Linked DNA regions of Canis lupus familiaris. The protein of the gene in region 1 interacts with the protein of each later gene in a pairwise test. Links are inferred from orthologs where the notes say so. Each region holds a gene or a part of one and is shown on either strand. Other genes may lie near its edges.

Region 1 (10,104 bases):
CTAGTCCAGGTTCTGCCTCTGACCTGCTGTCTGCTGGGTCAGCACCCCACCCCCTCCACCCTCCGTCTGCCAGCGCCACCTGGAGCTGAACTGCGGCTATTGATGGTTGGGTCCTGTGTGGACTGTGGATAAGCCACCTCTTCCAGAAAGTTTTCCATGGGTCACCTCTGTGCTGGTCAAGCAACTTTCCATGCCCTAGACGTAATAAAATTTGCTGTATTTCCTGAACACCTCGGGCCCGGTTCATAGGCATGAATCTTTCCCAGAGTTCTTAGGTGCAGCCCAGGGTCACCTGTGAAGACTTAAGGCTCCTCCAGAAAGAGTTTTCCCAACCATGAAGTCTGTCCCATGAGGAGACTGACTTCGTGCTGAGTCATGGCCCATATGGCTTCTGGGTTTTCCAGGAGAGTCCCAAGCCCAGAGAGACCTGCTGCACCAACTCCTCAGGCTTTCGGGAGGCAGAGCACACAGGCACCAGGCTGTGGTGTTGGGTGTGTGTTGGGCTGCCTTCCCAGATGTCCAGTGTGCGCACTCCCATTTCCTGCCTCACCTGCTGGGGTGCTTTGGTTCCGGAAGGCATGGGAATTCTCTGTCTTCTCCAGTTCTCGTACCTGGGAGGCCCGTGGGGTCTGGTGGGGCCCATGTGGCTGTCACGCTCAGCTCCTGGCAGGTGTGGCAAAGGCCACAGAGCTTGTTTGTTTTGTTTCAGGGCTCTCTTTACCTATGAGGGTAACAGCAATGACATCCGTGTGGCTGGCACAGGGGGTGAGTATGTCCCAGTGAAGGCGGCGGGGGGCGGGTTGTACGCATTGGTGCTCCCTGGCAGCCTTGGCCATCACAGCTAATGCAAGGAGACTGCAGGCACAGAGGTGTCCCAGCACGTGGCGAGGCTGCTAGGACCGCTCCCCACCACAGTGTCGGTGTTGGAGCTACATGCAGCTCTGTTACTCAGCGAGTGCTCACCAGTACCTCCTCCACTGGCTGCTCAGTGGTTCTGACTGGGCTAGAAAACCTGCCTCTCACTCCCTGCTGGTCATCTGCTTAGAAGGAGGTCTCAGGCCCCTGTGTTTCTTGCCAGCACCCCAGGGGTACTCACAGGGCTCTGCTGTGAGAGCCCAGGGTAGGGGCTCAGCACTGCCCCAAGCCCGTAGGGGCCCTCCAGCTACATTACTCGATCCAGCTCCTTATAGCCTGGGTGGGTTTGGGGGTGCTGATAAGAACAGCTGAAGAGGGCCCACTCCTGTGCGCCCATCACTCCCTTATCTTTACGTGGAGGGTCTGAGAGCTGAGCCTGAGCACAACTGCAGACTGGTCCCATCTGCTCAGGGCCCTTTGTGGGGTCCAGGCAGCAGGAAGATGGTTGCAGAGACCCTCTGTTTGGAAGCTTCATGCCCACTTTGTTGCATGACTGTCAACATTTGTTGCATTTTTGTTTCTGAAGCTGTCTGGGTTTTATACTAATGGTTTTTAGGTTGGCATGTGGAACATCTCACCTGAGGTGCTTGTTACAGACACAGATCCTGTGCAGCAACTTAGTGGGGGCAGGATGAGGAGTCTGATTCTGCAGGCAGCACTGAGCCCTGGTTCCGAGGCAGATTGGATTTCCTCTCCTGGGGGGCACTGTGCCAGGGCAGGCAGCAGGTGTGGGACCCTCTGACCCTCCCTGTGCCCACTGCAGAGGGGGGCCTGGAGGAGATGGTGGAGGAGCTCAACAGCGGGAAGGTGATGTACGCCTTCTGCAGGGTGAAGGACCCCAACTCTGGCCTGCCCAAGTTTGTCCTCATCAACTGGGTATGTGGAACCCGGGGGCCTCTGAGTTCTCATCCAGGCGTGACCCCGAAAAGCTCCCTTTCCTGCTTTCCTCCTTTGCCTTCCGTGGTGGGAGCGGAGGAGGACCTGTCTTTGGGGCAGCTCAGAGGTGGTGGATGAAGTCCTTGTGCCCCAGACGACAGCGGGAGCACTGCTAGCCCAGAACCACTCCCACAACCAGCAGTACAGTTCAGGACACCCACACATTTGTCCCCTTCAGGGGGTCGTCCTGAGGGAGCGAAGGGCCTGGGGAGACCAGGAGGTTCTGAGGCAACCCCCCACCCCCACCAGTGGAAGCTGGCAGTCATCCTGCACTCAAGAACCTCCTTGACTTGAAGGATGTGGGGCTTACCGTATGGTCTGCTGTAGGGTCACAGTTGTCCCTCTGCTGGGTCCCTAGGGAGGCAGGGCGGTGGGAAGTTGGCAGGTCACGCCGGGTGTGTCATGTTGCAGACAGGCGAAGGTGTGAACGATGTGCGGAAGGGAGCGTGCGCCAACCACGTCAGCACCATGGCCAGCTTTCTGAAGGTGAGGGCTGCACCCTGAAGGCCTCACACAGGTCTCCAGGCTCCTGCGATCTTGGGCGGGCGTGAGCGCGAATCACAGCCAGAACCGGAAGTGGGTCCCACTCCCCGATGCTCTCTTTGGACTTGAGGACATGAGCAGAGGCTGCTGCGCTCCTGCTTGGCCAGCACCCAGAGGGCCATGCTGTGGCCAGAGCGACCAGCAAGCTGGTGTTAGCAGCGGGGAGGAACAGGCGATTGTCCTTTTCAAGCACAGGGAAGGCCAATCTGGAGCGAGGTCTTGGGTTCCGTTGGTTTTGTGAGGGTTTATTCAGCCGTGTTGTCAGGATTTGGAGGAGCAGGAAGGGTGCAGGTGCCCAGCCCCCTCAGCGGGCACATTTCCCTGTACCCTGTTTGTAGCCAACCTACGTGTGTATTTACATCAGTCCTCGCAGCGGAACCTCGTTTAGTTCCAGAAGCCTTTGTTGTTTGCTTGTCAGATAACCTGCATTTCTTTGGTTACTGGCAGAAAGATCTAGGACTTTGATTTCTAGTCTGCTGACGCTTTTTCAGACATGCCTCAGTTTCTCCATCTGGGAGCTGAAAGAGGATCCCAAGCTGTTGGATGTTTACCAGCAGGGAGTGAGGTCATGGGTCTGACTTCTCAATAAGAAATTGGTGCCTGAAAAAAAAAAAAAGAAAAGAAAAGAAATTGGTGCCTGGGGCGCCCAGCTGGCTCCGTGTGAGGAGTGAGCGACTCTCGATCTCAGGGTCCTGAGTTCAAGTCCCAGGTTGAGTGTAGAGATTACTTGAATAAATAAGACAAAAAAAAAAAAAAAGGAAGAAGAAATAAGTGGTTTGCTCTTTGCAGAAATTGCATTTCCAGATCCTTTTTTAAGTTGGCTTTTCGTTAATTTGTTGATTTCGTTAATCAGGACTATTTCCTGCCTGGGCCTCCAGCAGCGAACACACAGCCCTGGGGAATCAGCTTGGGAAGGGGCAAGGTGCTGGGGTGAGAACAGGCTCTCTGCCTCAAGGTAGTTTGTCGGTCTTGTGGAGAGCGTGCCTAGGGCCCCAGCAGGGTCTCCTGACCTCGAACCCCAGGCAGCAGTTGTCTGCGCTCTGCAGACTTGGGGCTGCGTCCTGTCCTCTCCTGGAGCTGCAACACCTAGGTGCTGTCCTGCTGCAGGGGGCGCATGTAACCATCAACGCGAGGGCTGAGGAGGACGTGGAGCCTGAGTGCATCATGCAGAAAGTGGCCAGGGCCTCAGGAGCCAACTATGCCTTCCACAAGGAGAGTGGTCGTTTCCAGGACATAGGCCCTCAGGCCCCAGTGGTGAGTGCTGCCCAGGGCCAAGCGTGTCTTATCCCTCAAGGGCTTCCGGTCCTGGAGGCAGATCTAGGTGCAGATGGTGAGCCTAGGCCAGAGAGAAGCCGGAGCTGCCTCCTAGTAGGCAGGTGCTAGTGGGCGTGAGGAGCAGCCCTCTACCCTGCCTGCTGGTTCCACTGGCTATTCTGGAGCCTCTTACACCTGTTTTGTGTGGTCAGAGGCTCTGCAGGACAGTCCAGCCTGTCCTGAACGGCCCTGGATGGTGGGCACCATGGGGGAGCTTTAAGTGCTGGATGGTCAGGCCCCTTCCAGCTGTGGGTAGACACCAGACATCCTGGTTATGGGGAGCCCAGTTCCCCGAAGCAGCGCTGCAGTCTGTGGAGTCTCCCTGGACACTGGCACGGTGACCAGCTGTCTGAGGCTAGTGGACCAGCTCCTAGAAGCAGCCAGCCTCAGAACCTCCTTGGCTTCTATCCATTGGGGCCTAGTGCAGCCAAAAACCCCCTTGGCATTGCCCAGTGGTTCCTGGGGCCTTCAGGCCATCTTGGTGAAGAGGCCCCGGGCCAGGTGTCACTGCCACTGCTAGGCACGGTCCCCACAACTATTGTTCACGTTCTGTGCTCCCGCAGACGGTCCTGTAGCGGATCCTCTGTCGTCCACAGGGCTCTGTGTACCAGAAGACCAACGCCATCTCTGAGATCAAAAGGGTCGGCAAAGACAGCTTCTGGGCCAAAGCAGAGGTGAGTGCTGTGCGGGTGCGTCGAGCACAGCCAGCCCTCAAGGAGATCATGCGTGCCAGGTGTCAGGGTGTCTTCCTTGCCGTCCCTGTGTTTCTCATGATAAAGAACACGTGTCCTCATTAGTGGCTGCGCTTGAGCACGCTTCTGCACAGGCCACACTTGCATGGGGTGGGGGGGCAGGAAGGGAGGCTCGCCTGCTTGCTGTGCAACTGCTGAGTGGGGCAGGCGGGGTCGGCTCTCCCTGCAGAAGGAGGAGGAGAATCGCAGGCTGGAAGAGAAGCGGCGGGCAGAGGAGGAGCGGCAGCGACTGGAGCAGGAGCGCCGGGAACGGGAGCTGCGGGAGGCAGCCCTCCGGGAGCAGCGCTATCAAGAGGCACAGGCCAGTGAGGGACCCCAGAGGTGAGGCCCCAGAGGGAGGGCAGAGGGAGGGTCTCACATGGGCTGCAGCTGGGCTGCAGCACCTCCCTCTGCTCCCCCAGCAGGAGTGAGCAGCAGGAAGTGGCTTCAAGGAACATAGAGCAGGTGAGATGTGGGTGCTCCCACCCTGAGGGGTCCCTGATATGCCGGGGCCCCAGCCCAGCAGGCCTAGGGAGGGGGCCGCTGAGAAGGTCCTGCAGCCAGCTGGGACCTGTGGGTACACAGGAGGTGGCAGTGGAGAGTGAAGGGCAGAAGCGGCCAGTGTGGACGAGGCCCGTGAGCCCCTCCCACATATCCGGGACCCCTCACCGCTGGGTCCACATGCACTCCCCACAGGAGCCGGTCAGTCAGCCAGCACACCCGCGGGAGATCTTTAAGCAGAAGGAGAGGGCCATGTCCACCACTTCTATCTCCAGCCCCCAGCCAGGTGAGTCTTCCCTCTGCACCTCACCGTGAGGTGGGGGCAGGCCGAGCGAGAGCCTAGGATCCCAGTGTGGGGCCCCCAGAGGTAGTGACACGTCAGACAGGCAAGTGAGCAAGGAGAGCTTGCACTCCTTAGAGTGGCTTCTGGAGGGGAGCCTGGGCCTCAGGTGTCCCTTTCCTGCCCATAGCCTCATCCTGCAGAGACCTGGAAAGCAAGGGCCATGTGTGGCTTCAGAGGGGAGACCCTCCAGCCCGGCCCTATTAACCCGTGGTGCAGCACGCACAACGCAGGACCACACTGCTGCCCTCTCCCACGCTGTGCCCTGGGTGTCTGAGGTGTGCACGCCGCTGGCGCTTCAGCTGCTGTGTGCCCCCCCATCCTCCTGTGCGACAGCCATTGTCCCACTGCAGGATGCAGATCTTCTCCTCCTCCAGTGCAGGTGCATTTACCTTTGGTTTGCAGGGAAGCTGCGGAGCCCCTTCCTGCAGAAACAGCTCACCCAGCCAGAGACCCATCGCAGCCCGGAGCCCACCCAGGCCTCCTCCAGGCCCAGGGCAGGCAAGGCATTTGGCCGCCCCTGGGGGGCTGGGGATGGGAAGTGGGAGGGAGGAAGGGTGTGCGATCCCCTTCCCGGGCTCAGAGTGGGCTGCATCCTCCTGTGCAGATATCCATGAGGAGCCCGTGTCCAGCGGTCCGCCATGTGTGGTGCAGGCGGAAGAGGAGGCTGTGTACGAGGAGCCCCCGGAGCAGGAGACTCTCTATGAGGAGCCCCCAGTGGTGAGTTCCCCACAGCAGGGCCTGGCTGTGAAGGGGTCACGTACCCAGAAATGCTCTCTCAGCCACGCTAGTCACGGGATGCCTGACTTTTCAGTAGCTCCCTACATGCGGATTATCTCGTGTAACTTGGGGCAGTCCCTTGCAGTACTGTGGGAGGTCATGGGGGGTGGGCAGCAGCAGCCAGTGAGCCTGTAACTAGGACCCCAGATTTCCCTTCTCTCCTTCGGGGGGCAGGTGCTGCAGCAGGATGCCGGTTCTGAGCATGTGGACTCCTACCCGGGGCTGCGCGGGAAGGGGCTGTGTGCCCGGGCCCTGTACGACTACCAGGCAGGTAACGTGCTGCGGTCAAGGGACCGCTACACTGTCAAGGGACAGGCTTCAGAGGCTCCTTCAGGGCGATAGAAAGGGGAGGGGAGGATGGGGTGGACGGCCCGCACAGCCCAGGCCTCCCCCTGGTGCTCTGGGCAGCCACCCAGCATGTGTTGGCGTGAATCCCAGGTGCCAGCATTGTGCTAGAGCCTGCAAGTGCAAGTGACCAGAGAGGTGGGTGACCTGGACACGGGGCCCCCAGTGGTCCTGGGTGGAGCCTCAGGAAACAGGCTGCTCGTGTGGAAGTGGGGGGCCCCAGGGGTAGTGGCCGGCACCCGACCACCAGCCCCAGTGCAGACTCCCCTTCCCACAGCCGACGACACTGAGATCTCCTTTGACCCCGAGAACCTCATCACAGGCATCGAGGTGATCGATGAGGGCTGGTGGCGTGGCTACGGGCCAGATGGCCACTTTGGCATGTTTCCTGCCAACTACGTGGAGCTCATTGAGTGAGGACCCTCCACTGCTGGCTGCAGCAAGGCCGTCCTTCCTTTCCCCACCCAGATGTGCTTTCCTTACTTCTGGGAGAGGTGGCGTGCCCGGCACAAGAGCCACACCGTGCTCCTCCAGGAATGGGACCCCCCCCCCCCCCGCCGCCAAACAAGACAAGCCCTTGGGCTCCCTCAGACTTGGGTGCTCAGCCTCTTGTCACCCTAGATGCAGCAATATCCTGTGATTCCCACACTTGGTCTCGCAGCTCCCAGGCTCTCCCAGCCTGGCCTTTGACCCCACAGAGGACATGGAGCCACACCCTGCCCATGGCCAGCCCTTCCGTGGCCTCTGCCTGAGGGGGACAGCACTGCCACGCCGGGCGGTCTGCGCAGGGGTATTTGCCTTTTCCTTTTCCTGGCTCTAAAGGGTGCTGACTACAGCTGTTAGCGAGGCTCAGCTTCAGTGAACTGAGAGTTTAGGACCAAAGTCTCAGTGGGTCGTGACAGTTTGGGCAGCAGTAGGTGATCTTTCCGGACCCTGCCCTGTGCTCCCAGTTCTGTCCCCCTGCCTGCGTGGCAGACAGTGAGCAGTGCGGACAGGATAAATAACTAAGCCCCGATCTGTGCATAGGATCAGCAAACGTGTCCTTCCATGTGGCACGCCCTCTTCTACTGGCCCTGGTGTGTGCGCTCCCCTGACTCTGCCTCAGAAACCAGAGCAGCCTGTGCCTGCTGTCTCACCCTGTCTGTCCTGGCCCATTCATGTCTGCTTTTGGAGTGAGCACTGCCCTCTTGTGACCCGAATACCCCCGTGTAGAAACCAATCCCTTCCCGGGTGTCTGGGGTGTGTGTGTGTGTGCACGCTGCGCCCTCGGACCTGGGGCCCACCGTGGTCTCCTGGGAGAGGCATAAAAGTAAAGATGTGACTGAAGTCCGCCTCTTGCATTTCAGTCTCCTGAATGCCATGGGGACCCTCTGCCCACACAGGGCAGCACTTGTATGCATCGAGTGAGGTGCCTGGCACCCCATGAATGTCAGCAGGGCCATTCCTTGTGTGCCCTGGCAGGTGCCAAGTGGAAGCACCTGGGCTGAAGGCCACTCTAAGATGACCACTGGGCCTGGATGCTGGCAGGTGGCCCATCTTGTTTCCTCCCCACCACCCCCAAGCTGTGGGGGTTTCAGGTCCCATGTTGCAGGCTTTGAGGCTGCTGTGGGCTTGTTCTCAGGAGGTGGTGCTTGGTACCCCTGCACCCTGCCCCTCACCCTGGGGCTGCAGGGACAGCAGAGGACACCCCATCTGGGGGTAACTGGCCATGGTTGCTGTCCCTGCTGCCTGGGCAGAGCTGGGTCACCCCAGGCACCCTGGTTCTAGATCAGGGTTACCAGGTGGCCATTCAGTTTTTGGCATCACCATAGAGGGCCTCTCAGAACTTACCTGATAGCGCAGATTGGGGACCAGACCCCTGCCCTTGGTTCCTGGGGCCCTCACACCTAATGGAGGTGGGCAGCAGGGGCCAAGCACCCTTGGGCCAGGTTTGTGGAACCCCAAGCTCAAAGCTTTGGGAGCTGGGCATGCTGGGGTCGGTCACATGGGACTCCAGGTGGTAGGAGGAGGTGCCTTTATTGCCAGAAGCCCACCCTTCACTTAGCCTTGCCCTGGGCGGCCACAGCCTCCATGGCCTTCCGCACGGTTTCCTCGTCACCCAGGAACCGCATAGGCTTGGTGGGCTTCAGCGCCTGGTCCAGCTCATACACGATGGGGATCCCCGTGGGTAGGTTCAGCTCCATGATGGCCTGGTCGGACATCCCTGGGCCGGGGAACACAGTCCTCAGTCTGCCAGGCAGCTGCCCGCCCTCACGTGAAGCAGGCCCTGTGACCTTTCTGGGCCACAGAGCCCAGTCCGCCAGGCAGCAGCCCTCCCGCCCCCAGCAGCTGGCCACAGTGCAGATGGGGCTGAAGAAGGTCCAGCCAGAAATGAGAGACCCAAGTGGCTTGCAGAAAGTTGTGGTAAACCAGGACCTCGTGCCCCCAAACTGGAGCCACTGGGACCTGGGCCCTCGGCTTGACATCAGTCTCTTCTGGCCAGATTGATGGATGTTGGGTATTTAGAGCTTCCTAAGTTCTGGCTATCCAGAGCAAGGGTGCTCCTGACAGCTGGTTGTGGAGGGGACACCGAGAAGGGCCTCCTGTGGCCAGGAGGGGAGGCCCTGTGGGTGGAAAGGGCACGGTTTCCTGGGGAAACCTGACCCTGCCTGCCTCCGCAGCCCCTGGCCTGGAATAGCAGCTCGACCTTTGCAGTTCCGACACCCCACCCCCCAGGTCTGCGGACAGTGGGAGACTGTCGCTGGCCTCTTTGCTTCTCTCCCAGACCTATCCCTGGAAGGGACGGCCACAAGGTGGTTGTGGGGAGGTGGACTGGGGCTGGCCAGGCCGTTGGCGGGGAGCCACCTGTCTGCTCTGGCCAGCAACCTGTCGACCCCTAGAGCAGGAGGTTTGGTGCTCCCCACCCTACCTGCCTCCTTCCACTTCCCACAGTCCCAACAAGTTGCAAGGCCTTTCCGATGCTTAGACTGTCCTGAGCATCTGTGCAATGTAGAGTGCGTTCACAGGAAGCCCGGAGGAGGAGTGTGCCGTGCTGGGAGGGTATAGTCCCCCACCCACCCCCCAGTGCTCCTTAGTGGGAACCCAGTGAGGGCCAGGGGTCAGGAATGCTCCACACCTGCACTCCAGGTTTCACTGGTCTTACCTTTGCCTGGTGTGGGTGTGAGCTGGGGTCCTAGGGATGGGCATAGGCAGTCCTGGGAGCAGTCCCGCCACCCCATAGAAGGTGCTTGAGCCCCAGCAAGTGAAGTGACTTGACCAGGGTCACACAACAAATGGATGTGGACCAGACGGCCCCGCCTTTCCCCGGGCTGGGTGTCCTTGGGCAGGGCCCTCCCGCGGCTTGCCCAGGCTTGTGTCCGGGAGGCCAGGCCATTCCCAGGCCTCCCAGGCCCTACACAGGGCCTGGGCCCTTTCATCCACAGCCTTCGGCGCGACACTCATTTTCCAGTGTCCCAGGACATACACAAGCGAAACAAGTTTACAAAGTGTTTTTAAAGAATGGTCTCTCGGTCCTACCCACTGACCGTGTGAACCCCTCCCATGCGTGCTGGTGTCTGCAGAGCTGCAGGCCAGGGCGCACTTGGCTGAAATGAGGATTTGCATGCTCGCCCCCGCCCCGCGGGAGGGTGGCCTCACCTTCCAGGTGCTTGACAATGCCCCGCAGGCTGTTCCCATGGGCCGCGATGAGCACTCGCTTGC
Region 2 (10,104 bases), about 8.4 Mb from region 1:
CCAAAGAGGTAAAGGATCTATACCCTAAAAACTACAGAACGCTTCTGAAAGAAATTGAGGAAGACACAAAGAGATGGAAAAACATTCCATGCTCATGGGTTGAAGAATTAATATTGTGAAAATGTCAATGCTACCCAGGGCAATTTACACATTTAATGCAATCCCTATCAAAATACCATGGACTTTCTTCATAGAGTTGGAACAAATCATCTTAAGATTTGTGTGGAATCAGAAAAGACCCTGAATAGCCAGGGGAATATTGAAAAAGAAAACCATAGCTGGGGGCCAGACTTCAAACTGTATTACAAAGCTGTGGTCATCAAGACAGTGTGGTACTGGCACAAAAACAGACACATAGATCAATGGAACAGAATAGAGAACCCAGAAATGAGCCCTCAACTCTATGGTCAACTAATATTCAACAAAGCAGGAAAGACTATCCACTGGAAAAAGGATAGTCTCTTCAATAAATGGTGGTGGGAAAATTGTACAGCCACGTGCAGAAGAATGAAACTGGACCATTCTCTTACACCATACACAAAGATACACTCAAAATGGATGAAAGATCAAATTGTGAGACAAGATTCCATCAAAATCCTAGAGGAGAACTCAGGCAACACCCTTTTTGAACTTGGCCACAGCAACTTCTTGCAAGATACATCCATGAAGGCAAGGGAAACAAAAGCAAAAATGAATTCTTGGGACTTCATCAAGATAAAAAGCTTCTGCACAGCAAAAGAAACAGTCAACAAAACTAAAAGACAACCTACAAAATGGGAGAAGATATTTGCAAATGACCTATCAGATAAAGGGCTAGTATCCAAGATCTATAACGAACTTATTAAACTCAACAGCAAAGAAACAATCCAATCATGAAATATGCAAAAGACATGAACAGAAATTTCACAGAGGAAGACATACACATGGCCAATAAGCACATGAGAAAATGCTCTGCATCACTTGCCATCAGGGAAATACAAATCAAAAGCACAATGAGACACCACCTCACACCAGTGAGAATGGGGAAAATTAATAAGATAGGGAACAACAATGTGGGAGAGGATGAGGAGAAAGGGGAACCCTGTTGCTCTGTTGGTGGGAATGTAAACTGGTACTGCCACTCTGGAAAATGGTGTGGAGGTTCCTCAAAGAGTTACAAATAGAACTACTCAGTGACCCAGCATTGCACTGCTGGGGATTTACCCCAAAGATACAGATGCATTGAAAAACTGAGACACCTGCACCCCAATGTTTATAGCAGCAATGTCCACAATAGTCAAACTGTGGAAGGAGCCTTGGTGTCCATTGAAAGATGAATGGATAAAGAAGATGTGGTCTTTGTATACAATGGAATATTACTCAGCCATTAGAAATGACAGATACCCACCATTTGCTTCAATGTGGATGGAACTAGAGAGTATTATGCTAAGTGAAGTAAGTCAATCGGAGAAGGACAAACACTATATGGTCTCATTCATTTGGGGAATATAAAAAAATAGCGAGAGGGAATAAAGGGGAAAGGAGATAAAATGAGTGGGAAATATCAGTGAGGGTGACAAACATGAGAGACTCCTAACTCTGGGCTTCGAAAAAGGGGTGGCGGAAAGGGAGGTGGGATAGGGATTGGGGTGACTGAGTGATGGGCACTGACAGGGGCACTTGACGGGGTGAGCACTGGGTGTTATGTTATATGTTGCCAAATCAAACTCCAATAAAAAATATACAAAAAAAGTAACAGAATTTTCAGGTTAAAAATCATAAAGTTCAACTCCTTCATTTAATAGTGAGGAAAATGCAGCTCAGATAACTTGACTTGCTACAGAGAAAGCTGATTTGCTCAGTCATTCACCTGTCAATGGAGAGCTGATGTTTTGACTGCTCACCAGATGCTCTGCACATCATATACAGGGCATGTATGACTCTCTTCCAGTGGATGGTGGATGGTGGATGAAAGGCATTGCTGTTTGAAGGAAATCACAATCCAGTGCCCTAGTAGAGATGCATAGGAGGCACTGCTTTCCCCACCCACCCAGTGGTGTTTTATTTGTGGTGACAAATTACCTATACATGCAGAGACTACAACTGCTCACTGTTTTCAAATTTCATCATGAGCTAGCAACTCACTGAGAAACCTTTGAAAAACTGCTTTGTGAAAATAATTTCAAAGATTCTTTTTGGGCAGCACAAGTAAAAGGAAGCCTTTCTTCCTTCTGCCCTCTTGGTGGGCAAGCATAGCACCCTCCAGCGTCAGATGAGGTTCCTTCAAAGGAACCCATGTACTCACCGTGGAACCAGGGCGCTATAGTGTCTGAGGCCTTCTGGTAGCCTGCTCGCAGAGGTAGCTGCTCCTCTTTGAACCACCGAATGATGTCCTCCTGGGAAGAGCTCGATGCCGTCCTTGTCACTCCCTGGGTTCTGTTATTCAGAAAACGTTTTTTTCAAGTTAGATTTAACTAATTTGAAAACAATGCCTTCGAAAATCATATTTATCCTGTATATATAGATCATGTATAAGAGGAAAGAGCATCCTATATGTCTGAACATCGGATTACATGGGCTGGGCTAATGGGAAGTTGGATCTCTAATTACTGCCATTATACAACTAAGTCCTCAAGGGCTGCTCAAAAAAAATAGGAAGGAACATATATCTGTCACCTTGTCCTTCCAGTCCTATCGGACTAGTCATGGGTATGAGCTACTGCTGTTAATACATAGATATTAATTCATTTTTAATATGAATTAAAGGTCCATTAACTTCCAATTAAAATTTGAGAAAATAACTATTAAAAAGTGAAATACACCCCCAGCGCTATTTTCCTTGGGAACATGCTCTCACAAACCAAAGAAATGCAAAAAAATAATTTTCTTTAACAGTTTCAGTATTAAACTTTCTCTTTTGTTTCCAACTCCCTGACTTGCTTTCTTCCTCCTGTACTTCGAAGAGGTTTGGTTCTGCTTAAAGACAGTCTCAGAAATATAAAGTCAAAGAAAGAAGAGTGTTTGAAGATTGGTAAGAAAAAGATACAAGTGGCAGAATCATCTTGAAATATATTCAGTAGCAGAACTTAAGTTCTGGGATGTAAGTCAATTTCCATCACAAAAAGTAACTTTGCAATGTAATAAACATATTTCCAAGTCTCTCACAACAGCCTACTCATTTTGAGCAGAATTCAGTGTAAAAACGATGAGTTTGGATGAACTTCTGGGATGCCTGTCATGTAAATTAACTTATGGCTCTTTCTGCATTTTATGGTAACACACGTCTCCACGAATTGCATGTGACATGTATTTCAGATGTACATGTATGCATGCACGCATCCAGTTACATACCACATAGTATTTTGGAGAAGATAGCCTATACTGGGGAAACCAGATACTGCACGCACGTGAGATTACACGATGAGTGCTGTTACCAGCTTTCAAATTAGGTTCTTTTTCTTTGGGAAGTCTTTGGAGGTTAAGCAAAAACTCTAAGGACAGCCAATCTCTGTCTTTTCTCAGCCTGGCTCCTCGCTGATGTGATGTGATGTGGTCCCAGCCCCCAAACCATCCTGTGTGGCTGCCTCACAAGAAGCATTTCGTGCAAGTCTGTGAAGTTGGAAAAACAGCTCAGTGAGCACAGCTCAAAAGAAGAACGGCTCTTATTAAAGGCCACCTTCCTGCTGTCCATCACATACCCAGGGCACGAACAGTACCGTGGGCCAGGGCACACTATGAATGACTATGAATGACAGTCACACCCTTGGAAGAACTGGGAGGGCAGGGGTGGGTACACACGCAGCCCTGCGGGGGGTGGACGACACCCTGACCAGCTGGGAGCACTCGAGAGGGCCCTGAGCACGGATTCACACTTTTGTGACTTGGCCACAAAATGGCCAGGATCCCAGTTTTTTTTTTTTTTATTACTTTTCTTGGGTTTTTGTACATAAGAAAAAAAAAATCATTCTCCACACTGTCCCCGTATAGAACATGATCTTCTGGTCCTGGTACCCACATCCAAAAATGGAACCTTTCAGTTGAGTAAGTAGAAATCATTGTCATAGAAAAAACCTCTACCTTCCTGTTTCCTCTGAGGTCATAATCCCCGTTAGGAAAAGCCTTGAAGATCACTACTGACTCCAAGCAAAGAGAGATTTCTTTGCTTTTAATTTCTCCATACTTGCAACAGAGAAGTCTTTCTGCTTTTTATTTCAGAAGGTGAGACTTGAGACAGTTCTGTTTCATTCAATTGCTATTTGATTTCTCTGGTATGTAAATACTGTCTTTCTGCGTATTAGAATATGAAAACAATCATATGATATCCAGGAGACAATAATTTTATAATCAGTTAACTAACACAAGGGAAAGGGGGTTTCTGCTATGATGTCATCGTTATTTTTCTTCAGGGATTTTACAGAACAAACTGTTCTACGCAATTTTCTACAGCCTAGGGGGCAAAGGCACCATCGTGACCAAAACAGTACTCATTCCAAAGAGGAACAGTTCCAGATTCTCAGTGTAGGAGCTCGACTCTGTAGCCCGAAAGGAGGGACCAAACCTTTAACCCGGAGGAAGGAGAACGACTCTATGATGCCCTGAACCGCAGCAAGCCCCGCTTCCTGCTTTGGCACCGCGCGGGCTAAGGGTGATGCTGAGTCCTGACCGAAACCCATTCTGCTTCCCCCTCAGTGGCCACCGTAGGGAGCTGATGGGGGGCCGGTGGGGCGCGGGTGGGGGCGCTGGTGGGAGACTGGTGGGGGCGCTGGTGGGGGCGCTGGTGCGGGGCTGGTGCGGGGCCAGTGGGGGCACTGGTGGGGCGCCGGTGTGGGCTCTGGTGGGGGCGCTGTTGTGGGCACTGGTGCGGGGCTGGCGGGGTGCCGGTGGGGGCGCTGGTGGGGGACTGGTGGGGGCGCTGGTGGGGCGCGGAGGCACCAACTCCGTGTTCATCCTTAATCACTGTCTATCTTAATTATGACAACGGTGGGTATTTTCCAGACGACAAGGGGGTGCATCCGGCGCGGGGACCTTGGGGCGACTGGCTAAGTGGAGGAGAGCTGGGCTCCGCGCTGCGGCCGCGCCCCCCCGCCCCCACCCCCACCCCCACCCCGGCAGCCTGCCCTTTGCCTGCGCTGCAAGCCGTCTATGTGGCTTCCTACCTGAGAGGCTGCCGAGGGGACCCCGCTGGGTGCAGGAACTGCGGCTTGGGTGGAAGGGGGGGTCTCCTGGGTCTCTGCGGAGCAGCTGGGGCGCCGTGCTGCCCCCCTCCGCTCCCTACCCTGTCCGCCGCCAGGGACAGCCTCTTGTAGTCCTCCCGCGCCTGTTTCGCCAAAGAGCGTCTCTTCTCGTCAGCTGCTTTGGATTTTCGCACTAGGAAAACGGGGATTTGAGAAGAAGATGGTGAGAAGGATCTGCTGGTGAAGGGAGCAGTCCCTCAGGAGATGCTGTCACCTGCTGATAACAGACCGTCGCTGTCATCACCTCCGGCTCACACAGCTCGGGCCTGTGCAGCCACAACTGCCCAGCCTGCCGCACAATCCCTGTCTTTCTAAGGGTGGCGGTGGCAGTGGGGTGGTGGTGGCAATGGCAGTGGGGGGAGGGCTTCCTAAGGGGGAGAAGGAGGATGAGGAAGGGAGGAGATAGAACTGGAGAACCACCTGTTGGACAATTTCCTGCACTTGGCAAGACCAAGGGATGAGTCATAGCCCGAGTGCGAATTCCAACTGGCCCAGAGCCTTTGACCAAGAGGTGATGTCACATCCCTGACGCCCTCAGCTCGAGTCACTAGCGGAGACCAGCTGTCGGCAGCTCCTGGTGCAGTCGCTCATGGCTGTGGACAGGGTGACAGGTGGGCCAGTCGTGCCAAAGATCACACTCAGAGGCCCCCCCAGAGCTGAGCCAACTGTGAACTGGCCTGCCAGGGAAACACTACAATGGTTCTCACGGCAATCAGAGAACGTGCTGGTACACATAAAAGCACCTCAAGGCCACCTTCTAATGTTGCTTTGTATAACAGAGGGCTTATTGTTTTGTTTTGTGTTTGTTTTAGCAACACGGCAGTAAAGGGCTATAATGCAGGATGTTAAGACTAATTTTTATTGAGTGTATTTGCGCTTCGGGCATTCTTGGTCAAGCCCTGTTAAGTCTCATTTCAAATAGATGCCAAAAATGTTCCATTACACTAGAATTTCACTGCATAGAAGTGATTGGATCTTGCAAATATTTTCATTTCACAAAAACTGTCCTGTTCATGGTGTTCACTAATGAAACTGAAGACAGGATGCTCCACATCCTGCAAACATTCTCACTCTCGTTCTCTCCCTTAAATGGCCCCAACGGATGACCCGGCTGGTAAAGCTCTTTCTGAGTCACCTGGAAACCCTACTGGTATTTCAAACCTGCATTGTCTCCTAGCATCCCTGAGTGCATTCTGCTCTGCCTTAGCCCACCCCACCTCCTCCTGAGGAGGGTCATCTCCAGCAGCGCTAACTCAAAAAGGAGTCAGGGTCAGGTCACAGGCATGGGACAGATGCTGATATATTCAATCGGTTATTCCTGGTTCTTCTCTTACAAAGTTAAGATGAGTTCGCTATGAAAATTTAGAAAAGTAAAGAATAACAAGAAGAATTAAAACAAATCTGAAATATCATGTCTCCAAAAAAATTAACATGTTAATAACTTTCTAGTTCTTTTACTTCACATACCAAGGCATTTTAAAATAGGGGATGTTTTTCATACTATTTTATAATTTTTTTTCTTCAAGTGAAAAACAATTTATAAACATATCCTAAGGTCCTTAAACATTTCCAAAACATGGTTTTTCAGAGCTATATACCGTTCCATCAAACAGACTTACTATACCACAGCTGTGATGGCACAAAGACAATGGAGAAACTTCCTACTATTCAAGAAGTGACTCGTAAGCCTTTATGTAACAACTTGGTAATAATTCTCTCAACAACCATTTTAAGTGCTTCCTGGATTGATCATTTGTTAAGAGAAGGAATTGGCCTGGCGGGTCTAAGGTGTTACAGAGGCCTCTGGGTACTCACGAGACGCCTGCCACTCCGAATCTTCTTTCCAGCTTTTATAAATCTGCTTGGTTTTCTCCTCGTCTATTTGTTTTAGTTCTTCATCTTGTGTTTTCTTCATGGATTCTTTCTTCTGTTTAAAAGAAAAAATAAAAACCAGAAACAAACACCAGTGATTAACTCTGGCAGTTTTCTGCGAGGAGGGATTAGAGGCAGGGGAGGAAGTGGTGGAGGGAGGAGGAAGGGGGAGGTGGGGGGAGGGGGAGGAGGCAGAGGGGCCAGGGGCACTGAGGGGCCTAGTTTCATTGTGACTCCCATTGGCCCCTGACTGGGCAGTTTGTTGTTGCAGGAAAAGCTTGGAGTCGGTGATACCTGAGGCTGACTCAGTCATGACCTAGCTATAGCACCTTAGGGACCATTACCAAACCTCTTTTAGGCTGTCTTTGCCTTAGCAGAATTAGAAAATTTAGAATATTTCATAAGGTTATAGTGAGGGTTAAATAATATTTTAAAAGTATCTTCCATAGTATATGAAACACATAGTATATGAGTCACAGTATATGACCCAATAAATATCCATTTTTCTCAAACACAGTGATGTAGGAATGACTTAGAGGCAGATAGGGCTAGGCAGGGAATGATAAGGGAAAAGCCCCAGAGTCAGGCTCCTACCCATCCCGAGAAAACAGAGATAAAACAGTAAAAACATAAAAAAATAAACTTGGCTCCCTAACTCCAAAATGTTAGGGAGTCTCCCCCCTTTAATGGCTACTAAGTAATCACAGAAACATGTCATTAAGGTGTTATCGATAGTCCCTGCTCAAACCAAGACCACACAAGAATCTCAAGGCCGTGGGCTCCCTGATTAGGCTGCAGAAATCCCAGATGTAGAGAAATGTTATGGAGATGTTAACCTGAGAAAAGGGAACACCTTGTTTGGGCTCATGATATTCATAAAACCATCTTGTTTGTCACTCTGATGGTTACAAGTCCGCCATGTTTGTTCCGAAGAGCCACCCTGATAGTGACATGCAATGTACCAAGTCCCCTGGTAAGGTTCCTATAACAGACAGACCCTACAAACCCTCAGCAACCCTGTCAGGACCCCTCTCACTCCTAGAGCTTCCTCTGTATCTCTGGTTAATAAACATCTGTCGCTTTGCTGGCTCTGTTGTCCGCACGAGAACCCAGCTCTCCCGTTTCAACAGCACTTACCAGGTTTCAGTTGAATTCCCTGAGGCAGTGTGTGAACACTGCAGTATCTGACCAGCTCCATAAAATAACAGTACATTTCTAGAGCAGTCTCAGCTGTATCTCCATGTGCCCTCAAACCAGTGTGTCTAAATATGTGGTGCTAGGGGCACCTGGGGGCTCAGTGGTTGGGCGTCTGCCTGCGGCTCAGGTCATGATTCCCAGGTCCTGGGATCCATTCCCACGGGCTCCCTGCGGGGAGCCGGCTGCTCCCTTTCCATCTACACTCCCAACCCCTGTTTGCCTGTTTGTCCTCTCTCTCTCTCTCTCTCTCTCTCTCAAAATAAATAAAATCTTTTTTAAAAATTATCTTAAAATGTGGTACTTACACATTTTTGATGACCCAAAAAGGAATATTTTGTTTACTATATATATAATATATATATATATATTTTTTTTACTAAACATCCTCTTTGAGAAAATATAAAATAAGAAACACAAGTCCTCCTTTAAAAGGAAATATGCTTTTTTTATTGTAAAACATACATAACATAAAAATTACTGTGTTAGCCATTTTGAAGTGAACAGCTCCGTGGCATTAAAGGAACTAGTTTTTAACTAAAGAGAAACACACACCAGATCACTTAGACCTAAAAAGTACTTTGTTGGGCAGCCCAGGTGGCTCAGCGGTTTAGCACCGCCTTCAGTCCAGGTCATGATCCTGGAGACCCGGTATCAAGTACCATGTTGGGCTTCCTGCATGGAGCCTGCTTCTCCCTCTGCCTGTCTCTGCCTCTCTCTCTCTCTGTGTCTCTCATGAATAAATAAATAAAATCTTTTTTTAAAAAAAGTACTTTGTTTATTTGGGTACTGCCTTTTGAGTGCTTATTAGAAAACAGAATTTAGCACTTGGTGAACTAAATAAAAGCCTTGGTCACCTCGATAAACAAGCTAAGAGGTTGTATAAAAGCCTGACTGACCATGCTTCGCTCTCCATCCTAAAAATGACAGTTTTTTTTTCTTTTATGTTTTCCCATAGTAAAAGACACTAAAGACACTCTTTCTGTTAAACTATTTCACCTCAACTAAAATATAAACCTTGATGTTGGGAAACTTGTTTTCAACCATTGTGGGAAGTCATAAATCACAGTTAATGTAAAAGCTGATAATTCATACACTGTATTTCATTTCAGATGTAACTGAACTTTTGTGTTCTTATTATTTTCAACTTTTGTGTATTTTTTTTCTTACTTTCTTTTTCTGCCTAGAGCTAAGCCCTCTTGGTTTACAATATTACAAAAACTAAAAAAACAGTTTTTGGTGTTTTAAGTGACTGTTAAAATTTGCTGTCACCTAACTGAAGCCATTTATAAACCTGAAATACATAAAAAGTACTGCTAGCAATTTCTAAGTTTAAACATAAAAAAACTTAAAAGTGGAACTTTGTTCAACTTCCACATGAATATTTTAAAATGATTTAAAATGATTAGAATAGAGCTATAACATTAAACCATGACAGCATGAATATTGTTGCTTAGGAAAAGCAAAAAGTTTACAAAGTGACTCCACTGAAGGAGAAATATTCAGTACCTAATAATGTAGGTGGTATGTGGTTGATGACAATCAAATGTTGGGGAGTGCTACAGCAAGTAAATCATATTCCTTTTTAACCTGCAGTATCATTCTGTATGGGGAACAGAAGGAAAGAAAACAAATTAACGAGTTTCACAGAGTAATGGATGAGATGAGCCCTGACAACTACATTTATTCCAAGAAGCTGGAAAACTTAAGGACTTTGTCATGAGTTTCTCTAAGAATTCCTCCAGAAAATTTACTTTGAACAAAATCTTTACAGATTGGTCTTTACATCCGCTGCTTAGGAAACCAAACCACCAATTCCTTTTTA
Region 3 (10,606 bases), on another chromosome or scaffold:
GCTGTTCTCCCTGAAACATGCCAAGGCGTTGCGCACCCTGACCTCTGGCTGGAATGACCAACCACTACCCCTCCTCACATGGAGAACTCATTTATCCTTCAAGACGCAGGCTGGGAATCCCCTGTCCTGCGAGGCACCTCAATATCCAGTCCTATTCAGGACTTCCCCCAAGCTGGTCCCTCTGAACAGCACACCCTCCTCCCTGCCTGTGTCTGTCCTCAATGAATCCAGAGGCCCAGTCCGGGGGGACTCCTGCCGCTGCAGCCCCCTACTCCCCACAACACACACAAAGAGAACCACAGGGCTGCCGGCAGACCCCCTGCAGACACCGGGCTGCTCGCCGGCCTCTGCGCAGGGCCCGCAGCTGCGCCCCTCGGCTCCGGGCGGACAAGACCAGTCCCCCGCCCGGCCCCCGGCCCCCGGCCCCCAGCCCCCAGCCCCAGCCGAGCTCGGGCAGACCCCCGCCCGCTGCCCCGGGACAGCGCCCCGCCCGGCCGGCCCACGCCCGCCTTTGTTCCCCCAGGAAGCGGGGCTGGCGCTGCGGGCTCGGTACTCACGGCGTCCACGCGGCGGCCCGCCTTCCCTGCGCGCGGCGACACGGCTCCGGCCCGCGCCCCCCGGGGCCCGCCTCCCGGCCGCCCCACCCCGGCCGCCCGCGCCCCGCGCCCGCCATGCCGCGCCCCCCGCCCCCGCGCCCCGCCCCGCCGCCCCTTCGCCCCGCCGCGCCCCCAGCCCCGCGGACCCCGCTCCGCCCCCGGCGGCCCCCGGCTCCTCCCCTCGCGCGCGGGCGGGGCGAGGGCGCGTCAAGTGGGGATCCGGCGCTCCGCCCGCCGCCCCGCGCAACCCCGCGCGGGGCCTCAGTTTCCCCAGGGGCGGACGTCCGCGAGGCCAGGCTGGCCCAAGCCTGCCAGGCTCCCGGCTGCCTCTTGGCGGGGCGGGGGCGGGGGTGAGGGCCGCCTGCCGCCCAGGGTTGTGGCCAGGGTCGTGGCCGTGGCCGTGGCCGGTGAAGCGGGTCTGGCTGGTCGGCACTGGGGCTCCCGGTGGGTCTCTGGGTCCTCCTGCCCGCTCTCAGGTGGCTTCAGCTTCTGCCACCATGGGCCTCCACCCCCGCATTCCCTGCAGGACTCAGAGGTCCAGTCTGTGGCAGCTCCCACCTCTTGGGTAGATGTGGGCTTCTCTCCTAGGAGACCCCCAGGCTGGCCTAAGGCTGGTGAGGGTCTTGTGGGCCACCCAGACATTCTGCTGCCTCCACCTCCCACCTGCATACAGGCTGCTGGTGAGATGGGCCAGTCCTGGCAGCCAGTAGCTAGAGGACCTTGGGCCCTGCTCCCACCCAGCTGTGCAGAGCACCATGCCCTGGTTTCCCATCCTTCACTTGAGGCTGGCTGTCCATGCCCCTTCCCACTGCAGCAAGAGGCTCTGTCCCACCTGTATGCCTCTGTTCCTAGTGCCCTTGCTAATCCCTCCCCTGGCAGCATACTCTGCCCTCAAGGCCACCGTCCTCCTGCGCCTCCCAGCCATCCTGCCTGGGCAGCCACTCCCACCCTGTCTCAGTTCCCTCCCCTGCGTCCATTCTCTCCCTCCATCATCCTCACTCAGCAGCATGCTCCCCCCCACCCACACATGCCATTCCCATCACTACTTTTCCAGATCTCCAGGGCCTCTTCCTGTGCACTTGGCCTTTCCAGATCTGGCCCCCATGGATCTTTCTCAGGGGATCTCTTCCTGCCCTCCACCTCCCATGCATCTGTGCCATCCAGACCTTGTGAATCCTAAATCCAAAACCCAGAACTACCAAGCACCACCTCCAGGCTGCAGTTCACAGGTTCCACTGCTTGCAGTTGCAACCACACTAACGCAGCCCCCAAGAGTTGGTTCAAATGAACACCAATCCAACATTGACTCCTCCAAAAAATAGAAGAGAAAGGAACTCACTTTCTAAGGCCAGCATTATCCTGACACCAAAACCAAAGATATCACAAGAAAACTACAGACCAATAACCCTTATGATTATAGACATCAAAATCCTCACCAAGGGGTGCCTGCATGGCTCAGTTCATCAAAATACTAGCAAACTGAATTCAGCACCATGTAAAAAGGCTTCTACACCATGCTAAGTGAGACTTATTCCAGGAATACAAGTGTAACACTTAAAATTCAATGATCGCATACAACATATCAATCAAATAAAAGATAAAACCGCACGATTATCTCAGACACAGAAAAAGTATTTGTCAAAATCTGACAATCTTTCATGATAAGAACAACACTCAACAAACTAGGAATAGGAAAAAACTTCCTCAACATGGTAAAAGTTGTTTATGAAAAACCCAGAGCCAACATCATACTCAAAGGTAAAAGACAGCAAGCTTTCCCCTAAAAGTAGGGACAAGGCAAAGACATCTGCTCTTGCCATTTCTATTCAACCTGTATCAGAGGTGCTATCCAGTGTAATTAGACAAGAAAAAAGAAAATAAAAAGTATCCAGATTAAATGAAAAAGTAAAACTATTCACAACTTACATGGTTATGTATATAATACATATCAAGGAACTCACTAAAAAGTTATTAGAACTAGTTAATGAACTAGCAGGATATAAGATCAATACACAAAATCCAGTCCTACTTCTACATACTAGCAGTGAACAGTCCAAAAGTGAAATGAGAGTTAGTTCAAGTGTCCCCCCTTTCAGGTGGGCTTCCCTGACCTCTAGGGTGTCCTGTGTCCCTCTGTGGGGCTAGCACAACTTTCCCTCCACATAACACTGACCACACTAGCATGTCACCATCCCCCATCCTCACCAGCTCAGGCCCAGCACAGAGGGGGCTCCAAAGGAAGCATAGAATGTTGACCCTGGAGGGTGGTAACAACTGCAATTGCCTGGAAGGCACAGAATGCCAAAATACAGCCCCCATTCTGGTGTACCTATCGTCTCTGATCTGTAAGAAGACCTGGCATGTGTGCTAGGGCAGGGGCAGCATCTGTGAGGACACATGGAACTCACCATTTCACCTGGCTCCACACGTGGGGGAAGCTGGAGGAGAGGAGTCATAAGGCAATCTACAGCCCCCCTCCGGCTCAGCTCAGGGGCCAGGCCAGCACAGGCCTGTGAAAGCCTTGCTCTTGCCTGGCCACAGTCTCTCTGTGGGCAGGATGAGGGCTCTTAGGCGGCCACTGACTGACCTTGGGTGGGGAGGTGGGTGGTGACAGAGTTAGGTTGCGCCCTACCTTCACCTCCCCCAGGATTGTCCTTGCTTCAGGGACAGATGCCAACATCCTCATCTCCTCTCAAGAGGTTGGACCACCCAGAGGGAAACCCACCCGGATGTCCCCAAAGCTTCCCCCCGCACCTGGTTCTGCCCTGCACCAGGGGGTCAGCTGGTTTGGCACTGGACCAGGGGCCAAGTGCCAGGCCAGGCTGGAGCAGAAAAGGGAAGGAAATGGTGGCTTGTGGGTAGGGGTGATGACGACCATTGTTACTGAGGTGACTAGACAGCTTTGGAGACTTCAGTCCAGCTCAAAGATTCCAGCTCCATGGTGCCTGGGAAAATTTAGGGGAGTCCCCAGGAAACTCCCATACTCCTGGCCAGCCTGGCCTTCCTGGTTACCTCCTTCTATGCTCATGGTATCAGCCAGCAGCCTGGTAGTTAAAGTCCACTCCTTTATCCCATGGGCTCAGCAGTAAGGAGCTTCTGTCCCTTCTCCTGCAAGGGTAGACACAGCAGTGGGGGCTCCCTCACACCACGCTGAGCCACCCTGGGTGGGAGCTGTCAGGGAGCCCGGGTTCAAATCCCACCAGGCCTTCCTCCACTGAGCCTCTACTTCCTCTAATTTAAAGTGGGTACAGAGAGTCCAATCTTCAGAGCACCCCAACACCCCTCAGGGCGTTAGCTCTACAGAGGAGGGTACTGAGGCCACCCTGTGTCAGCACTAGGTTCCATGCTGGGGGGGGATCTGTTCCCCACAGCTCAGAGGGGCTGTCTGGGGGCAGGATTCTGATGACACAAGGTGGCCAGCATGGTGGTCGCTGCTGGGCTCCAGGAGCCCTTCCAGAAGGCATGAGATCTTGTGTGTTCGAGTGTGCACTGGGAAGACAGAGACCTCAGGCACACTCTCTGCCCTCTGCTCTTCACTCACCCTGGACCTTCTCTTCAAGTTGAGATTAGTCTAGGTGACCAAGGCCTGAGGTGCAGGGCAGATGGGTGAACAGTGCTGTTCCACGGAGACGGGCCCCATTGAGTTCCATGAAGTATAGGGTTTGTGGGTCTCACCCCCCATGGGGCTGTGAGCCCAGAGGCATGTGGTCATTGCCAGCACAGGCCCACAAGTGAGCTGAGGCTCTACCAGCTGGTTGGTGCCACAGACCATGGGCTCAGAGAGCTCACAGCGCAAGTGCAGGTTACAGTGTGCACACCGGTGTATGTGCATGCATGTGCACAGGTGTGAAACTGTGCAAGAGAGTGAGCAGGGGCTCTGGAGGCCAAACTCCTGCATCTCTCCTCTTTCACACCTGCAGACACAGCCCTGGCTGTGGTGAGGAAGCTGGTGCCTCAAGTGACCACAGTGTCAGGGGTTCCTGTCAGTGGTGACCAGATCGGCCCCCTTATGGGAACTGCAGGACAAGGAGGGGCCAGGGGTCCCTGACTGCACTCACACACACTCACCCCATACAAGCACATCATATACAACTCATCATATACAAGCACATACACAATGGTACATATGCTCACTCATTCTCACACACACTGGAGTGTACTATATACTCACAAAGTACTTGTGGGCTTACACTGATATACACACACACTCATTCACTCACTCATATGTACACACACACACAGCCTCCAGAGACTCACAAGACCTTTTGTGGGTACCCCCGGTACCCTGGGCTGACAGCCCAAGCATAGGTCAGAATCGTCATGACCACCCTCCAGCCCCGCATGTGCCCATGGCCAAGTTCCACTTGAGGCTTGGTGCTTTAGTCCCATTTCACAGACTAGAACAGTGGGCCTAGGAGAAGCACACTGGGCACTCACCAGTGGACAGGCTCTGCCTTTTGGGGATCTCCCATGTTATCATCTCAACATCCCCTGACGTGTGAGCCAGCAGCATCATCCCCACGCCACTGATGAAGACACCAAAGGGTCTGAGCGGCTGAAAAACTTGCCCAGAGTTACAGAGCCAGGGAACAGTGCAGGGGGGGAGGGGGGCTCATCAGGCACAGCCACTCCCCTAGCCAGCCCCCAGCAGCCGCAGAGCCCATCTGTTCTCCCCTTTCAGGTCCCCCCTGCTTTCTCTTCCCAGAATCTTCCTCCATAAGAGAATCAAAACCAAAAATCTCCTACGGAGGCTGGAGGCCAGTGAGCAGCAGTACCAGAGGGAAAGGGCATGACCTGGTTTTATAAGGAGAGCCCTTCACCCCCTCAGCTCTGTGCCAGACCCCCAATCACAGTCCCCAGGCACACACACACACTCACTCTCATCTATATTCACACGCTCACTCAATGCGTGTGCTCACAGGACCCAAACGGCAAGCCCAGCACCCCCCCACCCCCGGCAGCATATACGATAGGAAGGTGCACCCCAACCTTCAGCCAGATGCAGGCTGAGCAGCACATGGTGGGGGGCAGTGGAGTTCCCACTGTGCCCCACTCGGCTCTTGGGGCTCTCCTCAAAGCTTATCACTCTGGAGTCCAGAGCTCAGCTTCCCCGGCCAGTTCTGCAGACACTGGGCCAGTGCCACCTCCCGAGTCCCCAGTCCCAGGGCAGCCCCACTGACCTGATAGCACTGACCCAGCACATGGCTCTCCTCTTGTCTGTTGACGGGCTTGGGGCAGGCTTCCTGAGGCCCAGAGAGGCCATGTGACTCAGGGGTCACAGGGCACATCTGCAGCCTGCCTCCCCCAGGTAGGGAAGGCCTGCTGGCCCCGCATTGCTCTGAGCACCCTCCCGCTGACAGCCGCCTGCTGCATCTGGGGCCTGTGGCCGCCAGGGCTTCCTCCCCACTGACACTTCCTGTTGCCTGTTGCCGGGTCCTTGGGCAGCCCCAGCTCGCCAGCACTTCCTGCTTTCTGTCATCCAAGGTCCCAAGGCCAAACCGAGGCCCAGAGCTGCACCCTTTGTTAGTGCTGTCAGGTCTGCTGAGTTTTTAGCCGACCCCTCCTCCCAACCCATCCTGTGGTCAGAAACCACAGCTCTCCAGGCCCAGGGGCAAGGCTGGCTCTGTCCTGGTCCCCAGGGAGGAAGCTCCCCGCAGGTCCCCTACCGCACATACTCCATGGCCACTTCTGCATACTTGTCTTCTCCCCAGCAAACCACCAAAGCTCCTTCACAGCCTGGGCTCTCAGACTCCCCTCCTTGGTTCCAGAAGCCCCCTCCCCACACCAAGAAGCTGAGGCTTCCACCCCAGGCAGAGAGCTCACTACCTCCCTCTCTGCCCTTTCATACCAACGGACCAAGGAACCAGGTTCCCGGCAAGGCCCAGGCATTTCCCTTCCCCCCCGCCTCATCTACTACAGGCCTCCCCCATGCACCTGCCAGGCTTACATACCTCTTGTGATCACCACTCCCTGCTGGCCCTGCCAATGCCAGGCTTGCTCCTGCCACTGCTTGACTCTGCCCCAGGTCCCACTCAGGCTCCTCCCAGGCCTATGCTGCCCCACCAAGGAGGGCTTCCTCCCCTGCCTAGACCCACAGCCGAGAAGTTGGGGAACAAGGATTCAAGACCAGGCTGTTTGGTGCCCCCACACCCCCTAGCCCTCCTCTCCTGAGCCTGGGCCTCAAGGTCTTACCTCTCCCACAGAAGACAGGGCAAGCCAAAGGAAGGAGCACCCCAAGACCACCCGTACAGAAGGATCTGAGGGTCAGAGAGGCCACAGAGCACAGGGTCCCCGGGAGTTGTTATCTTGTCCAGCAGGTTTCCTGGGGCACATCCCCCACAATCGACCATGCTGGCACCTAGCCATCCCTCATTCTTGTAGTTGGGGCACTGGAACTCCACTTTGATCACAGCCCCAGACCTCTGCCAAGGCCCTAAGCCACCTGGAGGCCTGTTTGGGGTTACAGACCGCCTGCTGTCTCTTGGAGGGTGGGAGTTTAGGTTTCGTGTTTGAGCTCTCCTCAGGCTGAGCGTGGCCCCCCTGTCCCCGCCCCCCCCCCCAAGCCTGTGCCAGCTTCAATGCCCTCTGGTGGCCAAGGGCAGACTATGCTTTTGGCAGAAAGATGGCTGGGACAGACAGACCTTACATAGCAAGAGGGAGGCTTTGGGGGGGGGGGGGGGCTTCTTCCTCTTCTTCCCCTTTGCAGCCTGCCTGGGGTGGACAGAGAACCCCAGAGCAAGACACACTCTGGACACTTGGCCTACCTCCTTTCTGTACTACCCGTGTGGCCTCACCCTACTTAGCCCCTCTAAGCCTTAATTTCTTCATCTGTGCAAGGGATGCTGAGGGTTGAGATAAAGTAGCAGGGTGAGGAGCCCCTGGGCCATGATCCAGCCAAGACAAGCCAGGGGGGCAGCGCTGGGCTGGGCACTTTGGCCTCAAGGGGCTAGAGAAGGTGTCAGGCCCAGCAGGCACTAGGTCAGGGGAGGCCTGGGAGGGGGGCAGGTCTGACAGAGGAGGTGAAGTTTGCTGAGAGGGGCTGGGGTGAGGGAGTCAAACACAGGTCAGGGCTCAGGACACCATCCCAGGGTGGGGAGGAATCCAGGGGCAGCAAGGTGGCTGAGGCCCAGGAAGGCTGGGGGACAGGTGTAGGGGTGAGAACCTGCCGTGATAAGAATGAGGAGCCAATGGCTCTCCCTGGGATGTACAGCCCTCACTGGACAGATGGAAGTATGGGTAAGCAGGCCTGAGGTCAAGGCAGCAGCCAGGGCCTCCCCCGCCCTCACCCCCTGGAGGGCCCCCCAGCTCCTAAACACAGCAGAGTTGAAGTGGATGGAGGGGCATGAATGAGGTCAGACTAATGTGGGGGTCAGACTAATGTGGGCCCCTTCCCCAACCCTAGTTGGAGTTTCCTATGGGGGCTGAGGTCAGGAGTCCTGGGCTGCTATGTGACCTCTGCAGACTCCTCTTCCCTGGCCTCAGTTTCTTCATGGGCCCTCCTATCTCCTGAGAGGTCCTTAATCCTCGCAGTAAATAACACTGCCATCTATACTCCTGAAAACAGAGCCTCTCCAATAACAGCATCTTTTACGGTATGTAGAAATAGCCACGGAAATGATGGCACACCAGGTGCCCCAAAGTCCTAGGCATGGAAACCACTCCACCACACTGGATGTAGGGCACTTACCCGCGGGGGTGGGAGGGGGCCAGCAGGGCCAGGCAGGGGCTAAGGGTCGGCCTGGAAAAAAAAGAGAGAGGGAGAGTTTTTAGTCTGGGTTCCCAGGGTCTCAGCCTGCTCAGGAGCAAGGCCGACCCCCAGCACAGTGCCACCTCTGTAGCTGGGCACAGAGTCGGCTTCACATCTGTGCTCACAGCGCATGAAGCTGGTGCTAGCTTCACCTGCACCTCCCACGAGGACACTGCCATTCAAGAGGATGGTGCTCGCCAGGCTGACGGCCAGAGAATGGAGGTGTGAGGAATGGAACCATGTCCCTAGGAACCCCAGCTGCAGCTCTCCTGCAGGCACCCTGGGCCCTCGTGCCCAACCTGGTGCCTGCCTGCCACTTCTGGGGGCAGCGCAAGTGCAAAAATTGCCAAGGAGGGCCTGCTGGGCTCAGGGAAGGGCGGCTGGTGCCCATACCGGGGGAAACCTCAAGCTTTCAAAATAAGATGTTTCATATCAGCCACTCCTGCAGGGCCTGGGTCCATCCGCCCAAAGCCAGCCCTAGGACCCCTACTCCCTGAGCCTCACTCTTCTCTCCACACCTGGGGCTGGAAGCTGCCTTCCAGAACAAGGCTGCCAGGAGGGTACTAGGCAGAGGGAGTGGGTAGTGTAGAAGGCAGGGCCCTGCCTGGGGTCACCTGGTGTCATGAGCTACATGGGGGTCCCCAAAGAGATATGTCTAAGCCTTAGCCCCCAGGAATTATACATGGGACCTTATACAGAAAAGGGACCTTTGCCTATGTCATTAAGGTAAGGATCTCATTCTGGATTAGCCAGATGGGCCTGAAATGCAGTGGCAAGTGTCCTTAAAAAATGAAGAGATAGAGGCAATCTCCAGCACTCCCCATTAGCCTGGGTCCCACCAAATCTCCACAGCCAGGTTGGTGCCTGGTCCACAGCAGGGCCCGAAAAACAGATGGATGGATGGACAGATGGGTTCAGAGTTATGTCTGCACACATGACCATCCCTCTACATGGTCTAGGCTGTAACTAGCACATGCCTAGCCTGGCCCTCAGAGCCACAGTGAGGAATTGTGACTTAGAGCTAATCTGACCGTCGATAAGAACTGATGTTCAGGGTGGCTACAGCCAAGGCCCACCCATGGCCCAGGACTCTCCTTGGGGGAGTGAGCAGCCAGCTGGCATTGAGCAGGTATTCAAGATTGCTAACTGCAAAGAACAAATCAAGGCACTGGAGCCTGCCAGCATCCCCAAAAAGATAGTAGGGTGCTGGGGGCTAGAAGCCTCCCAGGGCTTTCTCAGGGCTACCCAGGGCAGAGGCAGGAAGCAGCTCCGCCACCTCTGTGTCCAAGGACAAAGGAAGTTAAGGGAAGTGCAGAAAGAGGCCCATGTGGGCCTGGGCTTCTGGGCCAAACCAGGGGCAGGGACAGGGCTTCTACTCTGGGACACTTGGACCCCAAACTCTGTCCCCATGGAAGACTCACAGCACCCCTGTCCCTGGATGTCACAGCAGCCCACAGCACCTGGAGCCTTCCTCTCCCTGGCCAGCAATCTCTGCCTCCAGGAAACATTCCGCAGCCGGGCAGTGAGCGAGCTGGGCTGGGGGCTCCCATGGGGAGCAGAGGCTGCTGCAGGCTTGCACCTGGGCCAGAGCATGCTCCAGTAGAGCCGGGGAGAGGGCAAGGCTCTCCAGACGGGAGCTGGGGCCTGGACAGGAGGAGGGGGAAGGCTGGAGGCCCATCAGGCCAAAAGGCCCATGGGAGGGACAGGGTCCATGCTAGGCTGTGGTGAGGGGCAAGCTGGGTCTGGGGTGGGGGAAGCACAAATTGGCATCGTCACGGGCCGGAGCCACGCTTCTGCCTCAAACCACAAGCCAGCAAAGGCGTTCAGGATTCACACTTCAGTTCATCACAACACAGACAAGTTTGCAACTTTTAATTGCTTGAGAAAAGATTTCCAGAGCGCTGATGTGTGGGCCTGGTCCACACCACCCCCGCCCTGAGTTCCTGGCTGCCTGCTGGTGGAGGCAGCCTCTATCAGCCTTGTTCCTGGAGTGCTCCCTAAGACAGACGCTCAGTCCTGCCTGCCCTGATAGCTCCCCATGAGAGGGTTACTGTGCCCACAGGACCTGGGTGGCAGGATAGCACAGCGGTTCCTGTGGGAACCAAGCACAGGCGTCCTTGGGGATGGGCCTGGCTCAATCCCCTTTCCTAATCTTGTGGCCCACTCTGATCCTTAGCCTCCTCCTCTGAAGAGTGGGGCTGACAGCTCTGGAGTCGGGTTGTCCCGTGGTGGGCAGGGGTACCTGGTCGCTGGCAGTCTGTTG

Evidence for each region.
Region 2: the proteins of DBNL (region 1) and SH2D4A interact in binary tests that used the Homo sapiens proteins (3 or more experiments, as listed by UniProt). The two-hybrid records come from large-scale screens. The link is inferred for Canis lupus familiaris from reciprocal best matches to the Homo sapiens genes DBNL and SH2D4A.
Region 3: the proteins of DBNL (region 1) and SH3BP2 interact in binary tests that used the Homo sapiens proteins (3 or more experiments, as listed by UniProt). The link is inferred for Canis lupus familiaris from reciprocal best matches to the Homo sapiens genes DBNL and SH3BP2.

What each region holds. Positions count from the first base shown.
Region 1 is NC_049237.1:14,463,992-14,474,095, reverse strand, and holds the end of DBNL (drebrin-like protein), read left to right. Parts: intron 1-709; coding exon 710-765; intron 766-1,678; coding exon 1,679-1,791; intron 1,792-2,161; exon of another isoform or gene 2,162-2,262; coding exon 2,263-2,337; exon of another isoform or gene 2,338-3,501; coding exon 3,502-3,648; exon of another isoform or gene 3,649-4,304; coding exon 4,305-4,382; exon of another isoform or gene 4,383-4,629; coding exon 4,630-4,781; exon of another isoform or gene 4,782-4,817; intron 4,818-4,861; coding exon 4,862-4,904; intron 4,905-5,135; coding exon 5,136-5,226; intron 5,227-5,685; coding exon 5,686-5,781; intron 5,782-5,887; coding exon 5,888-6,000; intron 6,001-6,234; coding exon 6,235-6,331; intron 6,332-6,682; coding exon 6,683-6,822; 3' UTR 6,823-7,736; downstream 7,737-10,104. Other genes in the region: PGAM2 (phosphoglycerate mutase 2), read right to left, coding at 8,442-8,608, 10,042-10,104. UniProt on the Homo sapiens protein: Adapter protein that binds F-actin and DNM1, and thereby plays a role in receptor-mediated endocytosis.
Region 2 is NC_049237.1:22,913,738-22,923,841, reverse strand, and holds part of SH2D4A (SH2 domain-containing protein 4A), read right to left. Parts: intron 7,141-10,104; coding exon 7,029-7,140; intron 5,347-7,028; coding exon 5,136-5,346; intron 2,416-5,135; coding exon 2,285-2,415; intron 1,990-2,284; coding exon of another isoform or gene 1,880-1,989; exon of another isoform or gene 1,864-1,879; intron 1-1,863. UniProt on the Homo sapiens protein: Inhibits estrogen-induced cell proliferation by competing with PLCG for binding to ESR1, blocking the effect of estrogen on PLCG and repressing estrogen-induced proliferation. May play a role in T-cell development and function.
Region 3 is NC_049224.1:61,998,146-62,008,751, forward strand, and holds the start of SH3BP2 (SH3 domain-binding protein 2), read right to left. Parts: upstream 6,009-10,606; 5' UTR 5,860-6,008; coding exon 5,777-5,859; intron 3,705-5,776; exon of another isoform or gene 3,609-3,704; intron 581-3,608; exon of another isoform or gene 558-580; intron 1-557. UniProt on the Homo sapiens protein: Binds differentially to the SH3 domains of certain proteins of signal transduction pathways. Binds to phosphatidylinositols; linking the hemopoietic tyrosine kinase fes to the cytoplasmic membrane in a phosphorylation dependent mechanism.